Bombyx mori: one gene and its partner. The protein of the gene in region 1 interacts with the protein of each later gene in a biochemical or structural test. Links are inferred from orthologs where the notes say so. Each region holds a gene or a part of one and is shown in the gene's direction. Other genes may lie near its edges. The genes, in order: plexin A3 and semaphorin-1A.

Region 1 (16,629 bases):
GGTATTATTTTCAAAAAAATAGTTTATAGAAAATACGATCATGGACCAGCAATCAGTGGCATCAACATTAGTCACAGTGAATCACTGGAAACATTTTATCTTTCATAGTTTTGTAATTGCATGATTGATGTTGTGTTTTATTATTTATTTAAGGACTGGTCACACTTACTTTGATGATTATTATCTTAGTTTAATTATAGGAAGATATTATTACAACACATATCTCAAAAGACGTTATCCACAGAAGAATAATTCTATTTTCTGGTTAAATTTAAAATTATAATTCAATCGGTAAGTAACAATAGAATGATATTGTGACTTATAGTTCCAAGCAATCCAATACATAAATATCATACAGATGAGATTATAATCTCATATTACAAGGTGAGTGGTGTCATTCATGTTGTGATTTTGTTGGGCTCCAGTAACAACTTAATACAAGATGGGCTGTGAGCTTGTTCACCCATCAAGTATCACTCAAATGCCAATTTTTGTATATATATTGTATTGTATGGTATATATAAAAAAGAAACATGGTTAAGATGCTGTGTCTTAATTTGAAAAATATCATCATCCTTCTCCTGCCCTTCTCCCAGTCAACTAGAGTCTGCGCAACATGTCTTGGCTTTTTAATTTGAAAAATAGTAAGCATTAAATATATAATATACAATATGGGAAGTCTTATTAAAAACCACGTTTTCACAATTAGTCTTGTTATAAATGTATCTATGTAAGATCACAATTACTCTAATTCAGCTGCGAATAATGTAAATTTTGGAGCTTTAATTTATTAAACTAAGTAACATGCTCTCAAAATATGCCTTAGCACTGTGGGTTTAAAAAGAGAGAAAGTCGGCGAATATGTTGCCAGTGCAGTTGGATGATAGGGGACAGTTAATTGAGAGAGTTGAGTTTGTTTACCTGTATCATCTGTAAGTGACTGGATATACTAGTAAATTTTATTGAAATCTTACTACATAGCCATATAAATTCATACATATTACTGAAATCTTAACAGGTTAAACTCAGTGAATGAAAATGTAAGGAGTAAATATAATTATAAGTAAATAGTTATTAAAATATGACACATTTTAACGTCCTATCCTAAAATTTCACAGTGTCTCAGTAAATAATAACAATAGGTAATTTATACAAATTAAATATACTTGGATTAAAAATTGAAAAAAGTTTAAGCTGGTTTTATGCTGGTTTAAAGCAGGTTTTAACAAAATCTAATAATATAAATCACTAGCGACCCGCCCTCGCTTCGCTTCGGAAACATTAAAACACACATGAAACAAAAAAAAAAAAAAAAGTAGCCTATGTTCATCAGGGACAATGTCGGCTTCTAATGGAAAAAGAATTTTTCAAATCGGTCCAGTAATTTCGGAGCCTATTCGAAACAAACAAACAAACAAATCTTTCCTCTTTATAATATTAGTAAATCACTAACTAGGCATATTGAAAATTGAATATTGAAAACAAATATTAGACAGTTAAAATAAGAATGGAGTTTTTGGATTTTGATGTTCATAGTATGTTAAATAATTATAATATGTAATCTACCATATTCAGAGTATCCTTCTATATGTCACTATTCTAAAGCTTATCTATTGTATTTTATCTATGTAGGGGGGATCTTATGTTGGTAGTAGAATGTCTTGAGTCCATATGGGTCTAAATTACCACCTTACTCACTTCTGCCTCAAAACAATAATTCTGGTTTGAAGGATGGGGCACCTGTTATACTATAGAATAGAGAAACCTTATGTCTCAAGATGGATTAAGACATGTTTTTTATGTACCAGTTTTTAATAGGCTAACACATATTCATATTTTAATCTCACCTATGGTAGAGTACTTATATCTTTGTTGAAAATATTTATTATCAATAACAGCTTAAGGGCAAATATACATACAAGTGCAGCAAAGTGCAAGGAGACATAATGTCATGCTTTTGAATTATGCATTTCAAATTTTAAGTAATTAGCATTAATAGAGAACTCTATGACCATACTTAGGATAAAGTTTCTTTTCCATAATTGACCTAAGATTGTCATATTGATACCCAAAAACTCATAAGAGCTTGTATGTAAGTGAGAGTATGTTTTTACTTCTGATCTTTAAATTTGGTATATATGGTCTAGGCATAAAATCTTTCCTTAGGATGTTTGATGTGGAGAAACTTTAAAGCTACTGTTAAAAAGTTTTACATCTAATCTTAAATGATGTTGTAGTGATGATGACACTTTATGCCATCATGTACCTATATAATTTGTTACATGAAATATTTTGAATTATAATTCACTGCAAATTCATTGCATTTTTCCATATGCTTATAATTTTGTCCATCAAAAAAAGACTGCAATAATTCAAAAGACCTCTGTTATAAACTTGTTCTGAGTTATTTGTATGTTAAATAAAATATTAGCAATTCAAACTTCAATTTTAATTGTTTCAAAGTATAATAATTTTTATTTTATTGATCACCAATGAATTGTGAAGAATCTTAATATGTTTAATTAGTAAACCTGTGAACAACCTTTAAAAGTACTAATAATGCAGTGTACAAGCACTTGTGAATATAAACAAATATCTTCGAAACATCTCCATACTGATTGTTTGTCTGGCTATCAGTTAGGAATTACGCATGTGCGACTCTGTTCTCCTTGACCAATTGGTACTGTTATCATCAGTTTGTAGTAGTAATATACCTCACTCTCAATTAATAACCACTGGTACCTATCTTATAAATATATTGTTCTGAGTTATCCATTCAGAATCCAAATCTTACAGCTTGGGCGGTATTCACGTTGTCGAATCTATGGGATACGGTAGCCGATTTACATTAGATAGCGCCATGATCAAGTTTGTCCATTGGCCAATAAAAGTCTCAACGGAAATCATATTAATCGAAATAGGTCAGAGCACTGACACATGTAACCTTGTATTGCAGAAACCGTATCTTAAGTAGGTCAGTCAACTTGGCCCAAAGAGACTTAAATAAATAATAATCTATTATAAAATGATCGATTGACATAGTTTTCTGCTGTATAGACTAGTGTTCACCTAACTGGTGATTCGAACTGACTTCTATTGTCATTTTTCGAGTCTCAAGATCGGTGGCGTCATTCGCGTTGAGCTCCGTTAACCACTTACCAACAGACGGGATTTGACTTCGTTCATTCGTCTGAGCGATAAAAAAAAAGAAATAGAATAGTGGAGCTCCACTTTTTTCCATACCTATTCTAGTAACGTCGAGGGTCCTAGTCCTAGCAAGAGCAGTGCTTCACAGAATCTACCGCCGGATCGGAAACTCGACCCACTGAGAAGATCCGTCGAGAAACTCAGCGGGCTGTATCTGATGGTTAAACTTCGCTTTTTTTACCCTTGTTCAGTATTCGTTTTTTGTAATGTCAATCTTGTAAATATTTACCATGTGCTTTCAGTTGCCACTCTCTTGAATATACATTCGTATTGTCATTGTTGAATCACACAGTCCTATTTTCCTAACTAGATTACTAGAATAAGCTTTTAATATACCCATCGTATATTTAAATAATAGTTTTGAGTCTCAATGAAATGTTTCACTTGCTCATTACCAAACATCATTCGTGTGAATGAAACAGCACTATAGAAGAACACGTACATATGCATTCATAATAAGCCGAGTTCTAATAACACAATCATTGCTTACATCATTCAGCAAACACACATAGTACGATCGTCTTTAGGCTATGAGCACTTAAAAAAAACTCAATACTAAATTAATACTTTAAACACACGTGAATTTCAATGTTGGCAGAAATCAGGTTGTGACACTGTCGTAAAGTAGCCCAGTATCTTTGTTCCCAAAGTCGTATTTCATACCTGAGAGCTTTTATTTTTCCTACCTAAGCTGATAGCCCTGAGAGGCTATTTCAGCGTAACTTTAGCTAGTTGGTGAGCTTACGGAGCTCAAACCGGAGTGATGCTAACACTGACTCAGTGGTCTGTGTCTGTGGATTAATTCGCTCGTCCAGCCCTTCGTCGCAAGCGACGGGTTCGACGAGGACTGTGACCGGTGCTTGTGGTACCTAAAAGCACCGTTAATGGACCGGGAGGATCCGTAATACGTGTTTTGGGCCTGAGAGCTGTGACCACCACTGCCTACCATGAAATTTGATAATTCTTTGTGTGGCTATTATCGCTCTGCAACACGAATTGTATCTTGTCGTATCAAATTATTCATTGTGCTCTGAATGTCATCAAGTTATCGTATCAATCCTGATTCTTCTATAATTTCACATGTCTAGGCAGGCAGTTTGTGGTGTCGGTAGGCTTCTATTACCTACCGCTTTATAGCCAGACTTTGAGCTCCTTTATAGCTAAAACATTTTTTAATATACTTAAAATTTTATTTGCACAAAAGCTAGTTAAATATTTAAACTTACAAATAAACTTTGCGTTAATGTCCTTTAATGATTTACAAATACGCGTTTATTTATTGACACTAGCATTACTGTTATCAAAATTCAATTCTTATCTAAATAGAAGGGAAATAATAGTTGACTGAACATATAAACTATAGTGTAATTTTATACGAACAATCCTTTTAACATCACCACTGTAATTATCTGCTGTCTGAAAAAAAATCCGTATTGTGAATTGTGAACATTCTGTTAATTTCTGGTATCAAAAGAAAATATCACTTTAGATCATTGGTAGATAGCTCGTTTAGTTTTAAGTGAAAACGCTTGTTACGCGATACTGTGTTTGTTAATATTGAATTAAATTCCTTTAAAAAAAAAAAAACTTGCTCGGCCTGGTGAATCAGCTACGCGGGTGGTTGGCGATTGCAGCACATTATTATAATACTGAGACCGACACTGCTCATTCTATATTGAATTAATTGGTTGCCTTTTATGACATTAACGGGAAGAGATGGAGAGTTGCTATTCTAAGTCGACCACACACAGCAGTGAAACAACAAGGTCGTAACTCCACTCTTGTGACTTTTAGCCTTGTGAGTTTGGTATTAAGACGACAGGACCTACCTAAAAGAATGCCGTCCCGTGTCTCATCATTGTATAACATATACTTATGAATATTTGTTATTTCTACGTGAACGTAATACGAAGTGAGTACGCAATAACGAAGCTCGCTCGTGAGTCACTTTAAGGTCGCGCCGCTCGCAATACGTACAAACCTGTTCTTCGACGGTTTTGTACAGAAAATTGCGTTATCGAATATCACAGAATGATTGGTCATTGCATAAAACTTGTTCTATGTTTATAATAAAATAATAAGTAGGTCTACTGGTGGTAGGGCAAATAAGACCGTACGATTAGTTAGTTAATGTTACGTAATCGTACCACCGTCCTAATACTGCTGCGAAGTACTTGGTAATATTGGACAGCCCTAATACAATTAAAGGCTTCGACCTTGTGCCTCAAATTAGGAACTTAATGGCCACCATGCCCACAATGACCTCGTACAATTATCCAGAGCCATTGTTAAAGTAGACTATTTAGGTCTAGAATAGCACCATCATATCTTTTCCCGAGGTAAAGAGCGATTAAGGGATTCACCGAAGATTGAGCAGAAAAGTTCATTAGAGTATCATACCCGCATGCTGCGTTCACCAAGTGTACTGTACTGGTGGTAAGATATGAACCCGCAGGTCGGTATCACCAACCATCCTACTTATCTCTTCCGCGAAATAATCTTGTAATCCGGCTTGAACGATGGGACCGTTATAAAGAACAAGGGCGATTTTGACGTAGTGATTTTTATGAGCTTCAAAATCCACTTAAAATCTGGTTTTCCGTGAGCTCGTTCACCGAAAAACGCAAAATATATTGAATTTTTAATCGTAATTGTGTTAAACAATTTCTTTATCGAATCATGTTAATTTATGATCTGTTATCAAGATGATCATGTTATTAAATGCTCTTCCTATATGGTATACGTATCATTGACAAAACATTCCCGATCCTGTGGACCGAATGGTAAACAGTCGATGCACCCGAAGGGCTCGACGAGTAAATTAACCCATAAACACAGCCCACTGAGTTTCTCGCCGAATCTTCTCAGTGGGTCGCGTTTCCGATCCTGTAGTAGATTCTGCGAAGCACTGCTCCTGCTAAGGCCAGTGTTAGCAACATTTCCGGTTTGAGCCCCGTGAGCTCACCTATACGTTAGGGTGAAGCTGAAATAGCCTCTCAAGGCTATCAGTATAGGTAGTAAAAAGAAGAAAAGAATTGACAAAAAACAAAAGAATTGACAAAAAACAAACGATTTAAAATGTTTTTAAAGCTCATACTATCTATTAAAGTATTGTAACTTCATTGAAACAGGATCGCATGTAATTCAAGAAAGGTTCTTACTTTGTTCCAGGTCTCGCTTCGTTGTCGCCGCACTATGAGAGTGCGCTTCCTATGCTTATGATCTCAATTTAGAAAAGGAATTTCACGCGATAAGCCCGCTGTGTCTCCAACAATGGAATTCCCGTGAGTACCACTACTAAACGATATTTAAATATTGATGTTTTTTAGTTTCTCCGTCATTTCTTTTCATTTCGTTTTTTATCGTTGCGCTACCACGTTCACTCCCTCGTTGCGAACAGCATGCCAAATTATTGTTTTAGTTATATTTATTATGTATCCCCTTTGATGGTGCTGAGGCTTTCGTCGGCGTGTGACTTACATCAGTGCACTGACAGCGTCGGTTCGCCCGTGACCATACCTTGGTACCGATCTATTTTTTACCGTCATCGTGTTTAATTCTCGATCGATATTCGCGTTTCGATACACGGTATTGAATAATAGTTAATTATCATACGAAAGTTTGTATACTAAAACGTTTAACCGAATTAAATCTACACAACGCAATGACTTTTCGTTAACGTTTTTCAATTTTAAAAGTACGAAATATAATAAATCATTATGTAAATTAATTTGGAATAGGTCAACGTTTATTGTTTACAGCGTTTCACTAGAAACATTTTAAATTCTGCATAAAAGTAGGCAGAATATTTCATAATAAAATGAAAATGTATTTGTGCTACAAGGTCACCTCTTGAATGTCAATCAAACAGAAGAGGTCTTCAAGAAAAGATTAATAACAAGTGATAAATATGTAGTCGAAAATAGGTTGGTACCGATATCGTTATCAGATGGGTCACCGCGAGATCAAGTCATAACTCGCGATTTCCCTTCAATCGCACTGAACCTCTCCGAGCCGATGAACGCGTACGTGCGCTTCGCCGTTATCAATTAGTTTATGTAAAGCACAGTCGCGCTAGGTTCTCGTCTGCGAATCGTCTCCAGGCTTCACCGGACGGTCCATATGAGAATATACAGGCGAAGAGCGGCGGTGGAGCGGTGCGGTGCGATGGGAAGTGGGTGGCGACGGCGCGCAGGCTCTGAGTGCGTGTGTCGCGTTGCAGATGCTCGGAGCGGGCGGGTGGCATCGGTGACGGGCGGCGGTGCGCGCGGTAGAGTGCCGGCCACATGCGCTCGCGCCGTCATGTGGCGCGTGCTGCTGGCGTTAGCGGCCGCGTGCGTCGCCGCGCGCGCCTCCCAAGACGTCGTGCGGACCTACAGCGATCCGGTCTCCGCACCGGGATCCCAGTTCAACCACCTCGTCGTGGATCGCAATACGGGCCGTGTCTACATCGGCGCTGTTAACAGAATCTATCAATTGTCGCCTGATTTGGAAGTAGCCCAATCGATTATTACAGGCCCCGTCAACGATTCCGCTCTCTGCACTTTTGATTGTCCAGCCAACTATGTCAAGAAGCCGACGGATAATGTTAATAAGGCGCTGGTGATCGATTACGCGACAAGCCGACTCATAACGTGCGGCTCCGTGCTTCAAGGGCTATGTTCCGTGCGAAACCTTAATAATATTTCTCATGATGTTCGTGAAGTTCGTGAACCGGTGGTGGCAAACAATGCTACAGCGTCGACGGTTGCGTTTATTGCGCCTGGTCCTCCAAACCCGCCTATGACACAAGTTATGTACGTAGGTGTTACGTTTACGGGAAATTCGCCATATCGTTCAGAAGTTCCTACTGTCAGCAGCCGTTCCCTGGAAGATGACCGCCTGTTTGGAATTGCACGCACCGCAGTCACGACTGGTACGAGGATGTTCATCAATTCATTATCACGGGAGCGATATCTTATAAATTACGTCTACGGCTTTAGCTCCGAGGGATTTAGTTATTTTCTTACAACACAACTGAGAGGTGTAGGATCAGATACATACTACAGCAAATTGGTTCGTGTATGTCATGATGACGAAAACTACTATTCATATACTGAAATTCCAATGTCTTGTACCGGAGAGGGAGGAGGCAATTTTGGATACAATCTAGTACAGGCTGCTTTTGTTGGAAAGGCCGGCTCCGTCCTCGCAGGTGAATTAGGAATAACGGCACAGCACGATGTACTCTTTGCAGCCTTCAGTCAAAGTGAGTCAATAAACGCGAATACTCCATCAGATCTGTCAGCCCTTTGTGTGTACTCTCTGAAAGCGATTCGGCGTAAATTCATGCAGAATATAAAGACATGCTTCAGCGGAAATGGATCTCGGGGTCTTGATTTTATATCGCCCTCGCATACTTGTATCGGAACAAAATTACAATCAATCAGTGAAGATTTTTGTGGCTTAGACGTAAATACTCCACTCGGGGGTGAACAACCAGTGGAAGCGGTCCCGGTAGCTGTATTTAAGAAAAGACTTACTGCAGTAGCCGCAACTGCCACTGGCGATTATACTGTAGTGTTTGCGGGAACGGCGAAAGGACATCTCAAAAAGATTGTGGTCGAAAGTGCAACTTCTGCATTTGAATACGGGGATATCGTTGTTGACGAAGATTCACCAGTGAATAAAGACTTATTCTTCGATACTCAGTTAATGCATTTGTATGTGATGACAGAACGAAAAGTGTCTAAAGTGAAAGTGCAAGAGTGCAGCGTTTACAAATCCTGTTTGACGTGTCTCGGAGCCAAAGACCCGTACTGTGGATGGTGTTCTTTAGAAAACAAATGCAGTCTGCGGTCAGATTGTCAGGAGGCAGCTAAAGATCCTTTGTATTGGATCCCTTACCGCAGCGGGCGTTGTACAACCATCACCCAAGTGACACCTAATCAATTGCAACGAACGACAGCAAGAACACTAGATTTACTCATCGAAAACTTGCCTACACTCAATGGACAATTTTTATGTGCATTTACAGCTTTAGATCGTACTCTTATAACGAACGCTACCAGAAAAACTTACGGTGTTAATTGTACAACTCCGCGTACCGATACGCTCCCACCGATACCGGCTGGTCAACATCACTTCACTGCTAAGTTATCGGTGCGCACTACTCAGGGACCTGACTTTGTAGCGACCAATTTTACATTCTTTGATTGTAATACGTACAGCTCGTGCACACAATGCGTCAGTTCCTCGTTCCCTTGCGACTGGTGTGTCGACGGTCACCGCTGCACCCACGATACCGCTGAAAATTGCCGTAATGATATTTTAGTAACGGGAGTTAGTAGAATAGGCCCAAGTTATCGTTCTGGTCCAAGCTTTTGTCCAACAATAAATTCAACGTCCGACGGTACCAACGAAATATTAGTACCTTCCGGTGTTAAAAAACAAATCAAAGTTAAAGTCCACATAATAGGCCAATTTATCGTTCAAACTAGATTCGTTTGTCAATTCAATATTGAGGGTAGAGTCACTCACGTGAACGCTCAACTTTTAGCAGATACCATATATTGTGAATCCGTTGAATTTACTTATACTTCCCGAGCTCCTAATATTACTGCTTCGTTTGCTGTAATATGGGGTGGGTCGAAACCTCTTGATAACCCGGATAATACTCATATTCTCATCTACCGTTGTAACGATATGGCTGATAATTGCGGCATGTGTCTCGCCCTCCCTGAGAAGTTTGGTTGTGGTTGGTGTCAAGGGTCCGACAGGTGCGAAGTACAAGAACAGTGCGGAGCACCTAGTGTTTGGTTAAATCGAACACAAACTTGCCCTAATCCTGAAATTCATTCATTCAGACCACAGCTTGGCCCATGGGATGGTGGAACAAACATAACCATCGAAGGTATAAACCTGGGTCGGAATATATCTGACATATATAACGGGGTAACTATTGCCGGAATAAAATGTCAGCCTATCATAGAATTATACATAAAAACAAAACAAATCGTTTGTACTGTAGACGGTCCCGGAGAAGAGGTTCCCCGTGATGGGCCAGTAGTTGTTCGTGTTGCTGATTATCGCGATGAATCTAAACAACACTACGCGTTCGTTAACCCTAAAATTAATTCTATCGAACCAATCTACGGGCCACAATCGGGCGGTACGAAGTTACGTATCACGGGTGAATATCTAAACGCCGGCAGCAATATACAAGCTTATATCGATGATTTGCCTTGTGCTATTTTATCAGTATCGCACGAGGAAGCTGTGTGTAGGACAAGCCATTCGTATCAACTCAAAATGGGCACACTGCGAATGCGTTTCGATAACGGGATGCGAACTCTAGAACGACAAAAGTTTGAATACATAGAGGATCCTGTTGTAGTGTCCGTTGAATCCGGTCCACCATTATTATCGCAACGCAAACAACCCAAAGGCATTCCGTCCGGCGGGATAAGCATCAAAGTGATGGGCAGAAATTTCCATTCAATTCTATTGCCCCAGATCTATGTATATCACGATAACAGACCTTACATTGCTCCTTGCTATAGGGCAGATTTTCAAACTGTTCTGATTTGTGAATCACCCGGTATTGAAAGTGCTGGTCTCAATCTAGATCCTGATAGACCTTTGGCATTAGAATACGGTTTCAATATGGACGACGTACAAAGTGTACAGAACCTCACAACTAAGACTGGTGACGCGTTCCTTTTATATCCTGATCCCATTTATGAGAAATTCGGCGAAGATTTAAAGTATTACAAGTCTGATTATTTAACTATTAACGGTCAAAATCTGGATAGGGCGTGCACTGAGGCTGATGTAGAAGTTCGAATCGGAGACAGCATTTGCAACGTAACATCGTTGTCACGGCATCAACTGACTTGTCGTCCCCCTTCGCGGGAAGATCTTCCTGACGGTGTTGACACTCTTGAAGTAGTAGTTAAAGTAGGACGTGCTCTCACCTACAAGATTGGTAAATTGTCGTATTCCTCGCAGACTGGTTTGCAAGCCGCTATAGGCAAACCAGCACTGATAGGGGTCGGCATCAGTATAGGTATTCTCTTATTTATAGTTGTGGGATTCTTAGTTATGTATAGGCGAAAGTCAACAGAAAATATTAGGGTATTAAAGAGTATGCAGGAACAGATGGATATTTTAGAGTTAAGAGTAGCAGCAGAATGTAAGGAAGCGTTTGCGGAGTTGCAAACCGAAATGACGGATTTGACTGGTGATGTCACGGGCGGTATTCCTTTCCTAGATTATCGCACGTATGCCATGAAAATTTTGTTCCCTAACATTGACGACCATGCCGTCTTGCAGTGGGAACGTCCCGAGCTTATTAGAAAAGACAAGGGTCTTAGATTGTTTGGACAGCTTATTATGAATAAAACATTCCTTTTATTATTTATTCGTACTTTAGAAAGCAATAGATATTTTTCGATGCGTGATCGTGTGAATGTAGCTTCATTGATTATGGTAACACTCCAAAGTAAAATGGAGTACTGCACTGATGTATTGAAGACATTATTAGCTGATTTAATAGAGAAGTGCATGGAAGGTAAAAATCATCCTAAATTACTGCTCAGACGTACCGAAAGTGTAGCGGAAAAGATGTTGAGCGCTTGGTTCACTTTTCTGCTTTACAAATTTCTCCGCGAATGCGCCGGGGAACCTCTGTATCTGTTATTTAGGTCGATGAAAGGACAGGTAGATAAAGGCCCCGTCGATGCCATTACCTCTGAAGCCCGTTATTCACTTAGCGAAGAAAAACTTATCCGCCAATCAATAGACTTTAAAGCAATGACCGTAAACGTGTCGATTTCGCAACAAACTTTGTTTGTGAGCGGCTTAGAGGCTACCACTGAAAACGTACAAGTTAAAGTTTTAGACTGTGATACGATAAGTCAAGTTAAAGAGAAATGTTTGGATGCTATATATCGCTCAACTCCGTATTCCCAACGTCCTAGTCGAGATGAACTTGATTTAGAATGGCGCACGGGGGCTTGTGGTAGGTTGATTCTTTACGACGAAGATAGTACTACGAAGTGTGAAGGAGAATGGCGTAAACTCAATACCCTGAATCATTACCGCGTCCCGGATGGCGCTTGCCTTAGTCTTGTTGCAAAACAGAGTTCGGTTTATAATTTGTCTAATATGGAGAAAAATGACAAGTCTCATACTTACGAAACTTTAAATCGAGGCAAATACGGATCCGCTAGTCCCCCTGCAAGCCCACTGAAATACGATCACGGTGGCGGCTTTAAATACTGGCATCTCGTGAGACATCACGACGATGACGCACGCAAGGAGGGTGAGCGTGGCAATAAAATGGTCTCTGAGATTTATCTCACACGTCTTCTCGCCACGAAAGGCACTCTGCAGAAATTTGTCGATGATTTATTTGAGACCATTTTCAGTACAGCTCATCGCGGTTCGGCGTTGCCTCTGGCCATAAAGTATATGTTCGATTTCCTCGATGATCAGGCATTACAGCACGCAATATCCGACCCCGAAGTTGTGCATACTTGGAAAAGCAATTCCCTTCCTCTTCGCTTCTGGGTGAACCTGATAAAAAATCCTAATTTCGTGTTCGATGTTCATAAGTCAAATACTGTAGATTCTTGCTTATCTGTTATCGCGCAAACTTTCATGGACTCTTGCTCGACCTCCGATCACATTTTAGGCAAAGACTCGCCTTCGTCCAAGCTTCTTTACGCTAAAGACATTCCCGTGTACAAGGAGTGGGTGGAACGTTACTATGCGGACATTAAGTTGATGCCGGCAATATCAGATCAGGACATGAACGCGATGTTTGCGGAGGAGTCTCGCCTCCACACGAAAGAGTTCAACACGAACTGTGCGCTGAACGAGCTGTACGCGTACGCGGACAGGTACAACGAACAGTTGACGGTAACGCTCGAGGAGGACGAGTTCTCGCAGAAGCAGCGGCTCGCATACCGCCTCGAGCAGGTGCACAGCCTCATGGCTCATGATTACAACGTGTGATCGCCTCGCCTGACGCTGTGATGCCGACCCCACCGCCCTGTATATAACGCTCACGCACATATCTATGCTGGCATTTATTGTATATATTAGATAGTGTACAGTCTTTAATATTGTAATTTTTGTATAATTTCAGCGGTCAGATCGTTTTTTAATTTTATATAAATGAACTTTGTATTGATTTTACACGACGAGCTCGGCCGGCTACGGTCGTGCCGGATGTATTCATCGTAAAGTAATAAATGAAATAAATTGTGTATGTCTGTCTTATGTGTGCTCGCGTCGTACGAGTTAATGTTACGTCGATCGGTGTATAATGTGTGTCGCAAAGAATTCGCATGTAAGCTCGCCGGCGAGCGACGGCTTCGCTCGCCAACGGGCGATTTTTAAATTTGTACTCGCAGTCTTATTAACGAAATAACCGACAGTGAACCCGTGAACGATTCCATTAATAAATATCGTCGAATGTATGTAAGCGTTGTTTTATTTAATTTGCAATGGGCGCAGCGCGATCGTCCGCGCACGACGAAAGCCCCCGCGTCTCGGCAGCTGTCGGCAGGGAGAACGCGGTACGGTGCCATGTCTGCTCGCCTCGCACTCGGGACCGTGCATCCAGCACCTAACATGTCATATCACCACTCATGTTTGTCGTACGTTACGTGGCGAGGCGAGGGCGACGTGCGAGACGTCATGGATGAACCGAAGCGGCCCTGCTTTTTCAGCCGGTACGTGCGGATCGTGGCGCGGACGACATTCGCGGTCGTCAACAACTTATACTGCATCCCCGCGTACGTGCTGTGGATGATGGCGCTGCGCCTTCTCAAACCCTTGTTCGCCCCCATCTATTGGAAGATCGAAGGCCTCATGTACCACTGGCTGCTGGCGATGGTCTCCTTGTGGTCTTGGACGGCTGGATATGAGAGTAAGTACTTCTATATTCATGCTAAAATAATTATTGGAGAGTACATTAAACACTAAAACCTTTAAAGTGGAACAATAAAAATAAACAACTTGGAAACTTACAATTTCGCCCACGCGCTGTGTCTTGGGAATATCATAATTAGCGTGTGTCGTAATATTCCGATTGCGTTTAAGATAGTTATGAAGCGCGAACAACTTTTACCATTGTTCTTCAAAAAGTTATCGTGTAGGAAGCGTACTTAGTCTTTTGCATAATAATTCTAAAATGGAGCATATATCAAACTTTGATCTCGTTTATTCTAAATAAGAATTGTATGATTTTTTTAGAAAGGAGTTTTGTAGATAATAAAAAAATGTTTGACTAAAACTAGAATAGGTCAAGAATCCTACACTTACCATAGAACTGTTTAGTGTGGAATGCAATTTGAAACCCATGCGTTTTGTTCCGCACATACTGTAAAATAAATCTTGGCTTTTAAGGTAATTTTCATTGGAATCTGTTGAAGCCAAGATTCGAATAGCCATAGGGATTTAATTGTAATAACGGTACAGGTTAGGATAGCCTAGTCAAACTAGGAAAATTTATTATTAGCTGCATGTGGAGTTAACTTTGTTTTTGTAGAAATTTAAATCGAAAAAATATTTAATTGAATTACGATGGAATACGGTAAGCACACAAGGGAACGGTAAGTTATGTAATTGAACTTTATACTGACATTAAAAGTCTGGTCAAAATGTCAAATGTTTTCGTCGTTTGTCATGTAGGACGAGTGACCAAAACAAAACCAGTTCTTGTGAAACTTCAAGAAATTCTTTAACGAGAACACTTACTTAATACGATATAATAAAGGTTAATCTCATCTGGAAACTAAAGTAGTGTAAAATGGTCTATGCTAAATCTCATTTCAAGCGAATAAGCCGAGATGATTAATCAATTTGTCAACTAGACAGCAAAATCGTGAAATGTTTTAATTATTCAACTTCAAAGCCATAGGTTCTCAATTCTTCTTTCAATAATGCTTTGGCGGTAGTCAAATTGTGATAAAAAATAGCTTCCGGTAACCACATTTTGTCAACAGGAGATTACTACGACCTTGGTCGCGAAGTAGGGAAATTAAAACTTAGTAGCTGTTACCACACCACTGTAGTGTATTGTGTAGTGAATTTGAAGTCATTATCTGCTAAAGCCAATCATCATATCAATGCAACAGCTTAGTTGTACATTGGTTACATTTGATTAATTTCTGTTTAACGTAAAATTATCGTTGCCATGTCTGTTTTTTATCTATACCTATTATCTTTATCCAGAAGTCTGATTAGTAGTTTTTTTTTTATTAATTATAAAATCATGAATTTAAAATAAGCGCTTACTTAGTTTTTTCTTAAGTTTAGTTGGTTGCCTTCATAGGCAGACGCGAGGCATGTCTTCAGCAATGGCAGAGGCATAGTCAAGCCGCTGCTTACCAAGGATTCAAATAGTTTAAAGAAGGATATGTCATAATGCTCAAGAAATATCGCGGAGAGAAATTTGTTCTAAGGTCGAAATGTGCGAAGAAAAAAGTATAACTGCAAATGCTGTGCAAGCAATATAAGCAATATAGAGCAATCTTTTGTATTTATTTCGTTTTATCGTCGTCATCTGCTATATTGGATATTTAGATATTGAAACTAATTGGTAAGGTAGTTATTTCGCTGCCTATAAATCTTGTTGACTGATTTGAACACTTGTGAAAACAAAATTGATTGCGTCCACTGTTTTGGCCAGATAATATCTCATTGCCCAATCTCAAATTAGATTTCTTATGTATTCGTAATTGATTTCGGGTTTGCTTGCGAACAATGGCCGCTTTCGAAATATAACTCGTCGCTGTAATGAAAGACCGGTCCTAAATTTATTTAGGAAACTCGAAATTTAAGGATTGTTAAAATTTTAGAACGGCACTGAGGACGAATGTGTAATTTTTTTAAACTTTTATTTCAATTGACTTTCTCGTTCGATGAACCGGATTCATGAAAATATGTTTCTGAATGTTTGTACATTAATGAAATTCCAAAATATATCTGATGTAACGAAGTCTCGCCAATTAACGCCAATAAAGTCATACTTTTCGAATAAGTCGGCAACAGCAATGGCAATAAGGAGCGAGAACTGCAACATGTGGTCAAGCTGTATTGACCTTATGCGGCTGCGTAGTTTGTGCGGCCGGTTGAGGACGGTCGATGACCTCCCTCCCACCGCAGGCCATTCGCTAGGAATGCTGCCCCCCACCTACGGGCCGCCACTCGTCATGTCATGTTGCAACCAGTCGCGGATTTGCATGTTGCCACTAAAAGTCGATACGTTGCGGTCCACGAGTCGCACGTGGTGAGACCTATTTAGTGACGTTATTTTGGTAATTTCGATTATACTTAGATAAGAAATCCTACTTCAGGTTCAGATAGTACTATCGATAGCCGATAATATTCAACATTTGCAAGATGATGATTTAGGTACACATGAGGTTT
Region 2 (17,587 bases), on another chromosome or scaffold:
TAAACATTCAAATATGCGTCTACGTATTTTTTACCTCCTATACATAAAAAATAACCCGCAAAACTTTGGTTATTCGTATATATTGCATATTCATAATATAATTTTCTAAATAATTTTAAACAAAAATCTCGTTTAGAAGTGCCGTCTTATAAAGAGAGGTTTTGGGAATTTTTCTTTTCGTTTTAGAGTGGAACCGTGTTGTAAAATACCGTATTATAGTAGAATTAATACCTGTACTCTAATAATTTGATTGACGTTTGTCAAAAATGATCAATAATATTGTCGATTATTATGATTTACAGATGGCGAATTATATTCGGGGACAGTTGCGGATTTCAGTGGAATAGAACCAATAATATACCGAGAACCGTTGCAGACCGAACCCTACGACTCGATGACATTGAACGGTAAATTAATTTTCTTTGTAATTACATTCCGCGAGACGCTGACAAGATTAAAAACCATATTTACGTTTTAATTTCGAATTTTATTATTTTCATTAACAACACCCTTACGAAGACTTAATAATTTGCGTAATCACGGACGAAGTTATTTGTGAATACTTTAATTCTCCGCTGTATAGTAAAATTAAAATAATAAACGCATAATGGAACCGTAAAGGTTATTTTAATTTATGTAAGTGCCGGAAGACCGATGACATAGTCAAGACGACAGGGCGGATGTGGATGAGAGTGTGGGGCGAGCACACATTATGATATAAAACAGACTTATGCCCAGCAGTGGATGCCAAAAGACTGAAGTGCAAATAAAGCATATTCAGTCTTTTCAGCAAAACAAGTATGGTGCGTTTTTCTTCATTCGACAGTATTACAGTCGATCTGCATTGATATTAAGAATTAATTTTAATTATCAATTACTAGTTAATATACTGCTCATGCATTTTACTTTTTGTGTTTGAATATTTGGTTATCTATCAAACCATACAATACCAGGTATCTCCATATTTATGTTAACTGATTGTCACTCGTTACAATATTTTGATTGTTATTGTAAATATTGTTATTTAAGAGGCTCTTTCACCAATTTTCACATCTAACATAAAAGCATATTGTCGCGGCCAGTAATGATGTAACAATTCTAAAATAGAAAGAAAGTAGACAGTTTTGTCTATTCTTAACATCCTTACCGCAGTCTTCACTATCCGTGATCATAATTTACAACAGCGCCGATGCATCGAAAATCTACTAGATGTGTAAATCGTGGTAAAAACCCGTGAAGAAAGAATAATAGTGTTTACAACGTAGACAGTGGTAACAATTGTTGTATGAAACTGCAACTTGGGCGAATAATGATAGTTAACTTTATTTATTATATTTAAAAAAAAATAGTTTTCTGTCTCAATACTTATTTTTATCAGGGTCGATCATTACACACTGTTTATTAGTGATTTCTAAATACAAGCAACGTTCAGCTTCCGTTTCCGGCTCAAACACTAATTAGCGAAAAACATATATAATAGTTTCCGGATCAAATAATAAACAAACGATAATTATGTAACTATACTTCCGGGTAAGCCTAGCAATCTAAAAATGGTTAGAACGCATAAACAAGGCAATATAACATTATTAATTTAATTTACCACCAATATTTGATATGGTAACGATGGTAATATTAGAAGTTGTTGTTTTAATCATAATATGACGTCATTCTTGGACTTAGTGTAATAAAAATTAAAATAGAACAGTGTTTTATGCCGTATGGTCTATGAATGCTCTGAGGAATTATTCGAGATGATCCCCTCATCTCCTTTTTTCATCGCACCTCCCGCCATCGGAGCAGAGTTCATCCATATTATCTGGAACCGCTGCGTTCATCGACAGTGCGTTTCCAAAGATCTTTTTTGCCACGTACCATCCGGCTTTGGAATGAACTCCCCTCCACGGTGTTTTCCGAGCGCTATGACATGTCCTTCTTCAAACGAGGCTTGCGGAGAGTACTTAATGGTAGGCAGCGGCTTGGCTCTGCCCCTGGCATTGCTGACGTCCATGAGTGACAGTGACCACTTACCATTAGGGTAGCCGAATGCTCGTCTGCCTACAACGGCAATAAAAAAAAGGGCATTTGTATTATAATTTAAATTACAAAGTCAACGTATTCTAGATTTGTTCGCTTTAAATCACAAGCATCTATCTAAACTAGAGGTCCCGCAGTAGTCGAAATTCAATTATAATTAATTAGAATTGTAAGTTTGTACACTATTATGATTGTATTTTATACTTCTATAATCACAAATTTCGCCAAGGCTACTATATTTTTTTTTTTATTAAGACAAACAATATTTAATCTATTCTCAATTTGACCACAGACGTCAAGAACAAAAGTTTGACAATAAATATTAAATAAATATGCACGCGTGCGTGCGTCAAATACATGGTATGTAGTGTGTCTAATGTTTTCTTTATTGATTTAATGTATCTTTTATGCATTATTTAAAAAAAATATTAGCATTGTGCACTCCTTCTCTATATTCTCTATAAGTGTAGAAAATTTCATACTCCTCCGTCCACGCAATTTTCGTAAAAAGGGATACAAAGTTTTTGCTTCACGTATTAATTAATATACAGATTATATTATCGTTACAATCAATGGTTACAACAAACGTTACGCTATCGGTAATGTCCACACAGCTGAATGCGTTCGAATGCGGCTGTCAGACATATACACATCCGTCAATTTAATTGAATTTAGAACGGGGCTGAACCCGCGTCGTTTGAGTGACGTATGACGCGTCAACAATCGCTAAATCCGATTAGGTTCGTATTAGAATTATAGCGCCTACGATAAACGTCCCTTTGCATCACCTGTATGACGTTTATTTGGTATTGAACACCAATATTATCTTCGAATTTAATTAACTTCGAACGTTCTAGAACGATATAGCCGTATTCAATTTGAACAACAATTATTCTGACAGAACTGAGAAATAATTGTCATATTTTATGTTTACAGCTCCGGATTTCGTGAATTCACTGGTGCACGGAAATTTCGTTTATTTCTTCTTCAGAGAAACAGCAGTGGAATACATTAACTGCGGCAAGGTGAGTTTCATGATTAATGTGTACTCGTGGTAGGGCGAGACTTAGAACTCATATCTCAAGGTAGGTGGTAGTATCTACGTTTTTAATGTTTATAGGGTTCGACGAAAAAGGAACAATGAAAGAGAAATAATTAATGCTTTTTCCTGTTTAGTTAACATCGCGATTGCTTTTAATAACTATATTTTTCCTTAAAATAAATAGTCATTACATGTATACAAAGTTTTAAGTTAAACATGGCTTTAAAAAAATAATATAATAATATATAAATAATAAATAGTATAAAACAAAGTCGCTTTCTCTGTCCCTATATCCCTATGTACGCTTAAATCTTTAAAACTACGCAACGGATTTTGATGCGTTTTTTTTTAATAGATAGAGTGATTGAAGAGGAAGGTTTATATGTATAATAACATCCATTAAATAGTGGAGAAATCAATAATAAGATACAGTTTCAGTTCAGTTAAGATACAGTAATAAAATACTTAAATGTTTAATTTTAATAAGTAAAGTTATTATTTTATTATTATTATTTTATTTTAAATGTATTTTTTTTTTCAGTCCGTCTTTTCTAGAGTTGCTAGAGTCTGTCGTGATGATCGAGGAGGTCCGCATAGGTTCAAGCAGCGCTGGACGTCGTTCCTGAAATCAAGACTGAACTGTTCAGTCGCCGGAGACTTCCCATTTTACTTTAACGAGATTCGTCAGTACCTTTTTTAATTTATTTAATGTTACATAAAAAAAAAGTTGCGCGTGCAACTTGGTGCACGTGAATGAAGTGAAACTTCTTTTTCGATGTTTAGTATTGTGGTTTTCTTCATTTTTCATTCTTAAATCAGATTGCCCTTGTAATAGGGAATGCTGTGTATAAGAGATGCGACATCTTCAACATTTATTTTATATGTATTTTAAATTATAGATAGAAAAATAAATATACTTTAATTTTTTTTTTAATATTTCATTAAAATATTAGACGCTACTCATTTCTAACACTCGCGCTGGCGTGTAACAGGTATACTGCGCGCATACGTTCGAGTGCCACGCTTTCACTCTCGCTCTGTCCCTTTCTAGTATGGTAGCGTTAAACATTTAACGCAACCTTGTTGGAAGTCGCATTAGAGAAGAAGAAGCATAGAGCTTCACTTCAAGAAATAAGAAATCGAATGAAATCGCAAAACTGTACTGTATACAGTCGCTAAATACCAGTTTTAATCTAATACATATATAAAATTCTCCTGTCACAATGTTCGTTCCCATACTCCTCCGAAACCGCTTGACCGATTCTCATGAAATTTTTTATGCATATTCAGTAAGCCTGAGAATCGGCTACTATCTATTTTTCATACCCCTAAGTGATTAGGGTTGTCCACCCCTAACATATTATTTTTATTTGGACTTTTTTTTTGTTATAATGAGGTATTATGTGGTTGAATGAGGTTTTGTTATTTTTATTATATATTCCCTCAACGTCCACAGCGCTACATGCCTCTTTCACTCATTTACCACATCCTTACACACTTACAATAAGTTAGTTTTTTTTTCTACACTAGAAATTCCCTAGAAATCTTATATATGGCAAAACAATGTTTGCCGGGTCAGCTAGTAGTATTATAAATTAAATAAGTTATTTATAATGTTTTGCAAATCATAATTCGTCTTACAGGCTTTCTCGTGTTGCATTACAGAATCGACGACCGAACTAATTGAGGGCGTTTACGGAGGCTTAAACGCTCAACTAATCTACGGTACATTCACGACTCCGCCTAACAGTATATCCGGGAGTGCGGTCTGTGCGTTCAGCATGCAGGACATAGCCGACACGTTCGAAGGAACTTTCAAGGAACAAAGCGCTTTTAATTCAAATTGGCTGCCTGTCAACAATGCTAAAGTAAGTTTTTGTTTTGACGTGACAACGTCTTATAATTCGATGGAGCCAGCTGCACGCACGAAAAAACATGACTCATGCGGCGTTACCTCGCTCTGAGGCGTTCCATTTAAGGCTCTACGTCATTGCGCTTTTGATGATGCGGCCGAAGTCATCATGAAATTAGCGGCTACGAATATTATTCGCAGACCGCGCCTCACGATCTATGAACTTTTCCCTCATTTTGGAATTATAATAATATATTTACTTAGTTTTGAATTATGTACGTATTTATGTGTAACTACAAAGGCATGTGATATAGGGGTTATGTATGAGAAGTATTCGCAATGTGTTTTATTTAATTTCTTTCTTGTATTACCTAAAGTGCCTTATCTGTATTGCCTCAGAGAACTATAATTTATAACCCAATGGTTAACCGGTAAAGAAAGAAGAATGTCTAATAAGCAACAAGCTCGCCGTCTATACTCGTATATAGAACAAAATAATTAAATTATTTAGTTATTAATACGCTTTTATTAGCTTCAGACGTATGTATGTTAGTATATTATGTTAGATTGTAACGGATTCTTTGAACATGATTTTGACCCCCTTCAAAATGTCGGATTAATTCGAAATTTGGTATACTTAAGACAATCCAATATTTAAAAAAATTGAAAAAATTAAAATTCAACTAAAAAATGATAAATAAATAATAAGTTTCAAAAACTAACAAAATACGCTTTTATAGAAAATCCAACTAAAAAATAGAAAATAAATTTTAATAAATTTGAATCAAAAATAGTGTAAGAAAAAATGATTTTACTGTAAAAAAGCGTGGGTGCTTTTCAGGATATTATCAAAATAACCCTTCTACTCATATCTGTTCACAAAATATTTATAACTACTGATACCATGCACCCCACGCTTTTTTAGCATAAAAACAATTTTTCTATAAAAGCGTATTTTGTTAGTTTTTTTAAACTATTATTTATTTTTAGTACCGATTTCGAAACACGAATTTTCTTAAATGTCAAAGACCCCGCTACCCGGACTCCAATTACTAAATTCCATCAACTAATTGTGTATTTGTTTTGCCAGGTACCTGAACCACGCCCGGGAACCTGTCATAACGACTCGAGACAACTGCCGGATAAAACATTGAATTTCATAAAAACCCACGCGTTAATGGACGAGTCTGTGCCCGCGTTCTTTGGAGAACCTATCGTTATTAGGACTAGCTTTCAGTAAGTATATACATTTAATGAAGTATAGACGTATATACATAAAAGTATATACATTCTTGAAGTCGTTGTGGCCTAACGGATAAGACGTCCGGTGCATTCGTGTTGAGCGATGCACCGGTGTTGGAATCTCAGGCGGGTACCAATTTTTCTAATAAAATACGTACTAAACAAATGCTCACGATTGACTTCCTTGATGAAGGAATAACATCGTGTAATAAAAATGAAACCCCCAAAAATATAATTTGCGTAAGTACTGGTGGTAGGACCTCTTGTGAGTCCGCGCGGGTGGGTACCACCACCCTGCCTATTTCTGCCGTGAAGCAGTAATGCGTTTCGGTTTGAAGGGTGGGGCAGCCGTTGTAACTAAACTTGGGACCTTAGAACTTATATCTTAAGGTGGATGGCGCATTTACATTGTGGATGTCTATGGGCTCCAATAACCACTTAACACCAGGTGGGCTGTGAGCTCGCTCACCAATATAAGCAACAAAAAAAAAATGTATCTGCTCCTAGAGGCAAATTTTTTTTCCTACCTATTCTAGTAACCTCGAGGGGTTATTCTAGATTCACCGATCTAGTAGGTGAGGGGCTCAAACCGGGAGGCTAGAGGCAGACAATATATTATGTACCTAGGCGAGAAGTATCAGATACGAGCCGAAACATGTATTGCTCTTACATTTTGTACAACACCCTGTGAATACCATTACATAAATAGATTTACTGGTGGTAGGGCCTCTGGTGAGTCCGCACGGGTAGATTCCACCACCCTGCCTATTTCTGCCGTGAAGCAGTAATGCGTTTTGGTTTAAAGGGTGGGGCAGCTGTTGCAACTATCCTGAGACCTTAGAACTCATATCTCAAGGTGGGTGGCGGCATTTACGTTGTAGATATCTATGGGCTCCAGTCACCACTTAACACTAGGTGGGCTGCGAGTTCGTCCACCCATATAAGCAATAAAAAAACTTGACATTAACGATTACATTGTATGTTTTATTACAGCTACAGATTTACGCAAATCGCAGTAGATCCACAAGTGAAGACTCCGGGCGGGAAAGCGTATGACGTACTGTTTATTGGCACAGGTAAACTATAAATACGTTTCGTTTAACAAAATAATTGTATTTGATTTAGTATCAAAAGTTTATTTGTTTTTAAAGAAAATTTATTATATACATCAGTAATTTTAGACATTCAAATTATAAAGATAACCAAAGTATAAATAAAGCATTTGCATAATTAAACTTTTGCAAATTATTTTTTGATAATTTTTAAGAATAATACCTATACAATTAGACAACTAATATTTTAATATATCTACATTTACTGATCTTTACTTCTAACGCCTAAGCAGGCCGAAGGACTACAGACGCTTTACATCGAGAATTCGATCTTACGTCTAAGCATCTAGAACATCATTATCTATAACAAAAACGTACACATTACTCCTTTTATTACAGACAATGGTAAAATAATAAAAGCGGTCAACGCGATTTCGTATGATTCAAACAAACGCGCCGTGCCGATCGTCATTGAGGAGCTACAAGCATTCGCCGCTGGCTCGCCTGTGCGCGCGCTGCGGGTCGCCCGCGCCGGCCGGGACGCCGCCAGACTCATTGCCGTCTCCGATAGAGAAGTACTCAGCTTGAGGCTCCATAGGTGCTCCAGTGATAAGATCAGCTCGTGCTCGTAAGTTTAATATGTTATCTATATATATATATATATATATATATATATATATATAAATCCCGTAACTCTTTTGGCAACCTTTCATTTTCCAACCTTCTGACAACCACCACTTCTAATAAACTTAGAGCAAAATGAATCATGTATATTAACGTATTAACGAATATGAAACTGACTATGTAACTCGAAATTCACCTTGTCGCAATATCCTAGAAAATACTAATATACTAATATCAATATTCTTCGCAGTACTTTTGACCACCAAACTACATTGGTGTACTTACTCCATCCGCGTATATTTAAATATATTACTAATCAATTCACTACAGATAAGTCTACCGTTTTTTTGGAAATAAATTGGAACTCTGTATATTGTTCCGTATACTTAATTCATTCCTACAAACGTCGGACTTCCTCCCATTAGCGTGTACTTCTGACATGTTCACTTACTGACAAAATATACTACCATTCACAGATCTTATAATTGTCGAAACCCATGTGCAGTCAATTATCAAAATTATGAAAATAATATACTTAATGCCATAATTGTTCAGTAGGAGAAACAGATAAACTACATTGAAAAATCTACATTAAGGTTTACCCTAAAATATTGTAAGTGGTAACTTTGCAGACCTCATAAATTTGTCCTATTAAGTTCCTTTTTTTTTATTGCCCTTGTAGGCAGACGAGCATACGTCCCACCTGATGGTGAGTGGTTACCGTCGCCCATGGACTTCAGCAATGCCTGGGGCAGAGCCAGGCCGCTGGCTACCGTTGAGTACTCTCCACAAGCCTGGTTTGAAGAAGGACATGTCATAGCGCTCGGGAAACACCGTGGAGGGGAGCACATTCCAAAGCCGGATGGTACGTGGCAAAAAAAGATCTCTGAAAACGCACTGTGGATGAACGCAGTGGCTCCAAGTAGTTATGGATGTACTCTACTCCGGTGGCAGGCGGTGCGATAGTAAAAACGAGATGACGGAATCATCTCAAAAAAATCCTCAGAGCACTCCCCATGGAACATACGGTACAAAATTTTGAGAGAAGCGAAGTCCCTCCGCAGATCCGGAGGTTCCAAACGATCCGTGAGAACGGGATTATCGACAATCCGAACGGCCCTCTTCTGTATGGAGTCAAATGGAAGAAGCTGGTATTTGGGAGCCCCAGCCCAGAGGTGGGAACAGTACTCCACGCGAGGCCGGACTTGTGCTTTATAAAGCAAAAGTATTTGTCCAGGCGTGAAGTATCGCTTCGCTCTGTTGAGGACTCCCAGCATTTTGGACGCCATCTTGGCTTTGCCCTCCAAATGACTCCGAAGCTGGACATCGCTCGAAATGTCGACTCCAAGTATTCCGATACTCGTGAAAGGTTTCAGGGATACTTCTTGGAATTGTGGCACCACGACAAAGGGGTCCTTCTTCGCAGTGAACGCGCAAACTTGTCTTTAACAGGTTGAATTGAACTAAGTTCGATTCACTCCACTCGGAGATTCGCCCCGGAGAGCTCTCCACTTCAGACACAAGCTTAGATCGTCTCTCTTGCACCACGCTCTGTGAAAGACTCAAATGGCCGATATATCGCGCATCCCCCGTGCCGTCATCTGCATAGCAATGCATGCCATCAATAGATGTCATTGATATACAGGATGAAAAGCGTGGGGAAGGGCACCGAACCTTGTGGAACACCAGCGTTAATGGTCATGGTATCGGAGCAGCCACCGTCTAGAACGACCGTGATGCTCCGCCCATCCAAAAAGCTAGCGATCCACTTGTAGAGTCCCTTGGGGATACCGTAAGATGGTAGCTTCGACAGAAGTGCCCTATGCCAGACCTTGTCGAAGGCCTTCGTGATAAGAAGCTCACAGAAAGAGCCTCGCCCTTGCTCTCCAAGACTTTAGCCCACCTGTAAGTAAGGTATACAAGAAGGTCGCCGGCTGAGCGACCGTGACGGAAACCGTATTGTCGGTCATTTCAGGAGTTGTGTATTTATTATTCGCTCCATCACCTTGGAAAGCAAGGAAGTTATCGCGATAAGCCTATAGCTCGATGGGTCCGACTGGTCACTCTTCTTGGGGATAGGATGGACGTGGGTGGTTTTCCATGAAGACGGGACCCTGTTAGTTAGTACTATACGAGATGCGATACAAACGCGTTAGCGTAGGTGTCAATTCAGGGGCGTAGGTTTTCAAAACCATTGCAGGGATGCAATCTGGCCCTCTCGACTTATGGACGTCCAGGGCCTGCAGCTCCCGCCTGACTGCACACTGTCTAAAGCAGATCTCAGGCAGAGAGCTATCACACCAGGGGATGTTGGGTGGTGTGGCGCCCCGGTCATCCATAGTGGAGTTCGTCGTCGTCGAATGTAGTCGTCGTGGCCTAATGGATAAGACGTCTGGTGCATACGTGTTGAGGCGATGCACCGATGTTCGAATCTCAGGCGGGTACCAATTTTTCTAATGAAATACGTACTCAACAATTGTTCACGATTGACTTCCACGGTGAAGGAATAACATCGTGTAATAAAAATCAAACCCGCAAAATTATAATTTGCGTAATTACTGGTGGTAGGACCTCTCGTGAGTGCGCACGGGTAGGTACCACCACCCTGCCTATTTCTGCCGTGAAGCAGTAATGCGTTTCGGTTTGAAGGGTGGGGCAGCCGTTGTAACTATACTTGAGACCTTACAACTTATATCAAGGTGGGTGGCGCATTTACGTTGTAGATGTCTATGGGCTCCAGTAAGAACATCAGGTGGGCTGTGAGCTCACTCATCACACGAGCCACTCATCTAAGCAATAAATAAATAAATAAAAAAGTTCGAGGCGAAGAATTTGACCAGAACGTCAGCCTTCTCTTTTGCACTATGGGCCAGACTGTCATCGACTTTACGTAGTGGTGGGAGACAAGACCTGCAGAAGTCGCCTTCTGCAGCCTTAGCCAGTGATCAGAAAGCACGGCTCCCAGAGGGATAGCCTTTCAGTCGCTTACCAATTCTGGCAACGTTCTCCGAATTCGCCTTGGCAATAGTCTTCATATAGAACCTAGAGGTGGCGTTAAATTTCCGCCTCTCCTCCGAAATGTCGGGGTCCTGGCATCTCCTAGCATCATTCCATGCCGCGTATGCGGACCGCTTGAGGTGTGCAGCATCCCTGCTAGGTTTATTATACCAGGGTTTGCTGCGACCCCCAACGGGCACCTCAGAAGAAGGAATGAATAATTCCATCCCCTGAAGCACCACGTTTTCAAGCCGGTCTGCACAGACGTCAGGATCATCGGAGGAAAAGCAGAGGCACCCCCATGGGTAGGATGCGTAAAATTCACGCATTCCGTCCCAATCTGCTAACCTGTACCGCCAAACTCTTCGAAACCCGGTCATCATTCGACGACTAGGGCGAGAGAGTGGTATTGCAGTACGGATATGGCAGTGATCAGACGATCCAAGTGGAGCGTCGACCACCACACTGTATCCAGCTGGGTGAGATGTCAGCAGAAGGTCCAACAAAGAAGGCTCGTGCCTCTCAATGTCTGGGACACGGGTGGGCTGTGTCACCAGCTGAGTGAGGCCGTAGAACAAAGCGAAATCGTAGGCTGCCCGACTCGGGAGGTCAGTGGTTTTGGACCCCAACCACTCGTGGTGATGAGCGTTAAAGTCAGCAAGGACCACCACCTCCGCAGATGGGCACTGCTCAAGCAGCAAGACGTAGCCTTTTTTTATTTTATTTTTGTGTGTTTGTGGTATTTAATACGCTTTTATTAGCTTCAGACATATGTATGTTTGGAACGGAATCTTTGAACATGATTTTCAAAACGCCGGATTAACTCAGAATTTGGTATACTTATTAAGGACCGATGACAATTCAATATTAAAATAAAATTGAAAACATTGAAATTCAACTAAAAAATAAAAAATAATAGTTTAAAAAAACTAACAAAATATGCTTTTATAGAAACCCAACTAAAAAATAGAAAATAAATTTTAATAAATTTGAAAAATAGTGTAAGAAAAAATGATTTTATTGTAAAAAAAGCGTATATGCGGGAGGAAATGTTCCACTTTTCTCCCTTGGTGCACAATGTACTAATTTGTGAATGTACTTGAATTAACATTAGAATTCAATGTGAAATTCGCTCTTTTTTCAAGATTATTTTCGTCACAAATTTCTGTTGCCACCTGTACCTGCAGATTTAGTTATGTTTAAGACCTTGAGTTTAAATAATTTATTTGTTAAGAATGTGACAGGAGGCAGCTAGCACACTGCCATATTAGAAAATCATATCCAAATACCTATTTTATTATTATTAATAATAATAATATATTAATTATTTATTATAATTTAGTATAATCATCAAGTCTTGGTTCAGAAGTGTTGAAAAATCTGAAATTAATGTTTCGAACATTAATGAGAAAACGAAAGAGACTTGTTATGACTATTCGATTCTTGATTTTCGCTATAGTTATTTAAATATGATTTTTATTATCTTAAGAATCAAAATCCGAAATAAGGTGTCACCGGTGACACCTAGTAATCTGCAAAGTTTCAGTGTCACAGGAATTTGAGGGTGATTTATTTCTTCTACACAAGAAATCTTAGCGCATAAACAGCGACTAGAATATTATAATGCCGGCTGTTATAATATTATCCGTTTCTCGTTTGCTTTTTATCCATTTTGATTATAAACAAAAGAGAATTAACCACTAATCAATCTGTAGAAGTAAACCTAGATGAACCTAGCTTGATAATTACAGTCACATTCATCAGGTGTATAATGATCATATATGGTATAATTGCAAATATGACACCAAAAAATCTTTTTTAGTAAAAAAAATATCAATATCAATGTACCGACCGTAATACCGAAATAATTACTAGTACTACTATTAATAAGTGGGTTACACCCACGTTATAATAAGTACATAGTTTTGTATAATTTGAATCCGAAGTGAATAGTCGGCAACGTCACGTTGTTCACAAGCGAAATTTCGAGCTGGCTGGCGACGCCAAATCATCGGTATGGTAAAAGCCAATATACAGCGCTACGTATACACACCCTCTGGCGGCACCGCTCGACACTGCGATATGCTTTTCCAAACGTTTCTGAGGCAATTTGGTGACCATCTCAAAAATTGATATAGTAACCATAACTCCATCTACAGTTGACTGGTGTAAAAAATATTGAGAAACAAAGTGGCGACCGCATATTGGTCGCCAAATGTCGGTGGTCGCCACTTTAAATGTACTTTTGTGTTCATTGGATGCCAAAAGTGTTGCAGGATATATATATATATATATATATATATAAATGAATTTCTGTTCGTTAGTCTCGCTAAAACTCTAGAACGGCAGGACCGATTTGGCTAATTTTGGTCTTGAATTATTTGTGGAAGTCCAGAGAAGGTTTAAAAGGTAGATAAATATGAAAATGCTTGGAATTAAATAAAAATAACAATTTTGTTTTTCCTTTGATGTGTGTGTCCCTCCCTCGTCGGACGAATTCCTTTTGTTTGTTTTAAGTTTATTTTATACAATAGCTTAGGTCTTTTATTTATCGATTGAGGCACTGCGAAGTCTGCCGGGTCAGCTAGTATGTTATATAAAAGTTATACTAAATTTCAGACAAGCAAACCGTGCCTTGTCTCACTATTATTAACCCCTCTCCAAAAAAGGAGGTTATCAATTACTCGGTTTTTTTATGTGTTACCTCAGATTTTATTCTGGATAAACCGATTGTGATAATTTTTTTAAAAACATTTAGCGGAATTAATTTTTCACTGGTGGTAGGACCTTTTGGGAGTCCGCACGGGTAGGTACCACCACCCCGCGTATTTCCGCCGTGAAGCAGTAATGCGTTTCGGTTCGAAGGGTGGGGTAGCCGTGATAACTATAGGTACTTGAAACCTTAGAACTTATATCTCAAGGTGGGTGGCGCGTTTACGTTGTAGATGTCTATGGGCTCCAGTAACCACTTAACACCAGGTGGGCTGTGAGCTCGTCCACCCATCTAAGCAATAAAAAAAAATCAACTCGTGAAACTTATATAAAATTCGCCTATAAAATAATTATTGTTCATTCCTTAAGTTCTCATCTTACAAATTAAAAACAAACGACTCACTGGTTTGATTATTCCATCGTTGTCTTAAAAGAATAATTCTTGAAAGTGATTTCAAGGTAAAATCTTAAAACGGTTTTTACAATGCGCTTGTTTTTTTCCCCAGCGAATGTGTTGCTCTACAAGATCCGTACTGTGCGTGGGACAAACAAGCCGGACGGTGTCGAGCGTACTCGCACGGCGTCAGTCGCTGGCTGGACGAAAACTCCTTCTACCAGAGTGTCAGCACGGGAAGCCATACTGCCTGCCCTCACAGTAATGACTTATAAAACGCACGATAATAGTATTGTTCCGCGCTAGAGGTCGGGATAAATAAAACCTTCACGGAAGTACAAATAAAAACTCTATTGAACAACTACAACACTAAAGGTCCACTTCACAATTCTCAATTCTCTTCGTCCGCATCGATTCAAGTGATCCGTTCGCTGTTTCGCTTCGAGTAGAACTGATTACAAACTGCTTTCGTCACATCTCTGCAACGATTTTATAGGCAACACGACATGTCTGCAATTATCAAGAACATTTCTGATAGTATAGTACTCGCCAAACTTTATGGCCGCTCCGAACCTAGCCGCATTACGCTGCGCAGAACACAAAATCAGGTATCAGCGGGACGTGCGCTGACCTTGGAGGCAGGGCATGCCCGCGCGCTCTGTCTTCCGCTCACAAGCGTCCTCGCCACCCGCGCGTTGTGTGAGTGCTACGTTCGTACACCAATGACATACTCGCTGAGCTATGACAGTATCGTCGCGTTCAGAATATTTTCATATTGCTATTTCTTTGTTATTTGTTTCTCGTTGCTATCGTTATTAATTACAACAACAAAAAAAACTTGGTTATGAAATGTCCACCCGACTGTACCATGAGCAAGTTCGTACTGACGGCTACATTCAGAGCGGCCATAAAGATCGTTTCGATCACATTTTTGTTATTTGATAATAGATGGCGTTACACTTCTCGAATGTCACCCGATAGTACTCTAGCTAGCTCTTTTGATATTCGTTTCTGCTATTTGATGATAAATGGGGTTACTCTTACCGGCATAACAATATAATACTTGCCCATACGGCTTTACGAAGCTTTTCCATTATCAAGTGTGGCTAAATCGTCACACAATACTGTTGCGATATCGACTTTTTGCTTGTATGAATCACGTAATGAATTCCAAAAAGGTGTTGAAATTATACTTTGTTTGTAGGTAAAGACGCAGGTGCAGTGGGTGGTTTAAGTTCGGGTCTTTACGATGACGCAAGAGGAGAAAATAAAGGCGAGGTTATCAATATTGTCCAAGATAAGGATGGGAAGGGAAATAGCAACAACAATGAAGGTACGTGCTAACTGACGGTAGGCGTATTGTAAGGTCATATGTTTCAGCTTGATGGATGGAACAGCTGTTATATACTATAATTCATATCTTAAGATGTCTAATGATCTCATGTCTTAAGATCGATGACAGCATTCACTTAGTAATGTCTATGGGCTCTCTAACCATTTAACTCAATCAGATGAATTCAGTCACCTGTCTAAGCGTTTTTATATATATATATATAATAACCTAATTGAATAACTACAGAAATATTTCATCAGTGATACTCAACTTGTCCTTAGTCGTAGACAAAATCTCTATGTATAAAAATTAATTGCTGTTCGTTAGTCTCGCTAAAACTCGAGACGGCTGGACCGATTTGGCTAATTTTAGTCTTGAACTATTCGTGGAAGTCCAGGGAAGGTTATATATATATATATATATCGCGCTTCAAAGGCAAACGTGACTAAGCGACAATGCGTGAACTTTACAGTAGACTAATTTAAATTTGAAATACCTGAAAAAAAATATTTTAACGAATCTAGCTGTAGGATTGAAATGATTTTAATAGACCTAGAAATATATCGACGCTTGAAAGGCAAACGTGACTAAGCGACAATGCGTGAACTTTACAGTAGACTAATTTAAAGTTGAAATACCTGAAAACAAAATTTATTTTAATGAATCTAGCTGTAGTAGAATCTAGCTAGTAGCTGTAGGATTGAAATAATTTTAATAGACCTAGAAATATATATTTTCTGCGCATCGAATATGGTTATTGCCTATCATTTATGTACAAAGACGTTATTGTCGCTTAGTCACGTTTGCCTTTCAAGCGTCGATATATTTTTTTGCGCATCGAATATGGTTATTGCCTATCATTTATGTACAAAGCAGTTATTGTCGCTTAGTCACGTTTACCTTTCAAGCGTCGATATATTTTTTTGCGCATCGAATATGGTTATTGCCTATCATTTATGTACAAAGCAGTTATTGTCGCTTAGTCACGTTTACCTTTCAAGCGTCGATATATTTTTTTGCGCATCGAATATGGTTATTGCCTATCATTTATGTACAAAGCAGTTATTGTCGCTTAGTCACGTTTACCTTTCAAGCGTCGATATGTATGTGATGTCTGCCGGAAGAGAGTCTGTATCGCTCTCTAAGGCAGGAAAAATCATTTGCTAAACGTAACTTTGTTCAACAGGACCTGAAGTCCTGGCCGCTGATCCACCACCAGCAGCATACTCCGTTGAAACACTTGCATTAGCTGTAGCCGCCGGCGCTCTGGCAGCCCTGGGCGCAGGATTCGCGGCCGGATACATTTGCGGAAGAAGATGCAAGAAGGACGAAGACGACAACATGCCCTATCCCGATACTGAATACGAATATTTCGAACAGCGACAGAACATCAATAGGTTTGAAACATCTTATTACTTCAATGGCATTTATTGATAAAAAAAATTCCTACCTAAGCTGATAGCCTTGAGAGGATATATCAGCGGAACCTTAACTAGTAGGTGAGCTCACGGGGCTCAAACCTGACGACGTTGCTAACACGAACCCTAGCAAGAGCCGTGGTTCGCAGAATCTACCACCGGATCGGAAACGCGACCCACTGAGAAGATCCGGCGAGAAACTTCATAACAACTTCGAAACTATGTAAACGAACTCGGTACCTAATACGATTTTGGTGGTGGTAGGACCTCTTGTGAGTCCGCACGGGTAGGTACCACCACCCTGCCTATTTCTGCCGAAAAGCAGTAATGCGTTTCGGTTTGAAGGGCGAGGTAGCCGTTGTAACTACACTGAGACCTCAGAACAGGGTTTCCCAAACTTATTTTGTCTACTGCCCACTTTGAGAATAAAATATTTTTTAGCGCCCCCATTTTTTCACTTATTAAAAAACCATAACAGCGAGAGCTCAGTCGGTGTCTAAGAGTCCTCCTAGATGAAATTACAAATCGCCTTCCAAGTCACTAACTACACAACACCCCTATTTTTTTTCTGGGTCTCCTACCGCCCCCTTTAGGCCTGCAGCGCCCACAGGGGGGCGTTATCGCCCACTTTGAGAAAGGCTGCCTTAGAACTTATATCTCAAGGTGGGTGGCGCATTTACGTCGTAAATGTCTATGGGCTCCAGTAACCACTTAGCACCAGGTGGGCTGTGAGCTCGTCCACCCATCTAAGCAATAAACAAAAAAAAAATACACAATTATTTACGATGTCTTAGCAGAATCCAAGCCGAACCGAAGCTGCTGCAGCAGGTCGAGGAGGTGACGTACGCCGAGCCCGTGCTGGCGCCGCAGCCGAAGCCGGCGTCCCC

What was found.
Region 2: the proteins of plexin A3 (region 1) and semaphorin-1A form a complex in vitro, tested with the Drosophila melanogaster proteins (2 studies listed by BioGRID). The link is inferred for Bombyx mori from reciprocal best matches to the Drosophila melanogaster genes PlexA and Sema1a.

Annotation. Positions count from the first base shown.
Region 1 is NC_085124.1:13,998,943-14,015,571, forward strand, and holds the end of plexin A3, read left to right. Parts: intron 1-6,378; 5' UTR 6,379-6,480; coding exon of another isoform or gene 6,481-6,491; intron 6,492-7,429; 5' UTR 7,430-7,509; coding exon 7,510-13,206; 3' UTR 13,207-13,673; downstream 13,674-16,629.
Region 2 is NC_085125.1:9,407,860-9,425,446, forward strand, and holds part of semaphorin-1A, read left to right. Parts: intron 1-302; coding exon 303-407; intron 408-2,970; coding exon 2,971-3,059; intron 3,060-3,617; coding exon 3,618-3,759; intron 3,760-4,741; coding exon 4,742-4,944; intron 4,945-6,018; coding exon 6,019-6,164; intron 6,165-7,163; coding exon 7,164-7,246; intron 7,247-7,621; coding exon 7,622-7,850; intron 7,851-14,061; coding exon 14,062-14,210; intron 14,211-15,153; coding exon 15,154-15,282; intron 15,283-16,468; coding exon 16,469-16,679; intron 16,680-17,494; coding exon 17,495-17,587. UniProt on the Drosophila melanogaster protein: Involved in growth cone guidance through its role in axonal repulsion. Function in neurons is essential for adult survival, motor neuron survival, and is important for climbing behavior and activity.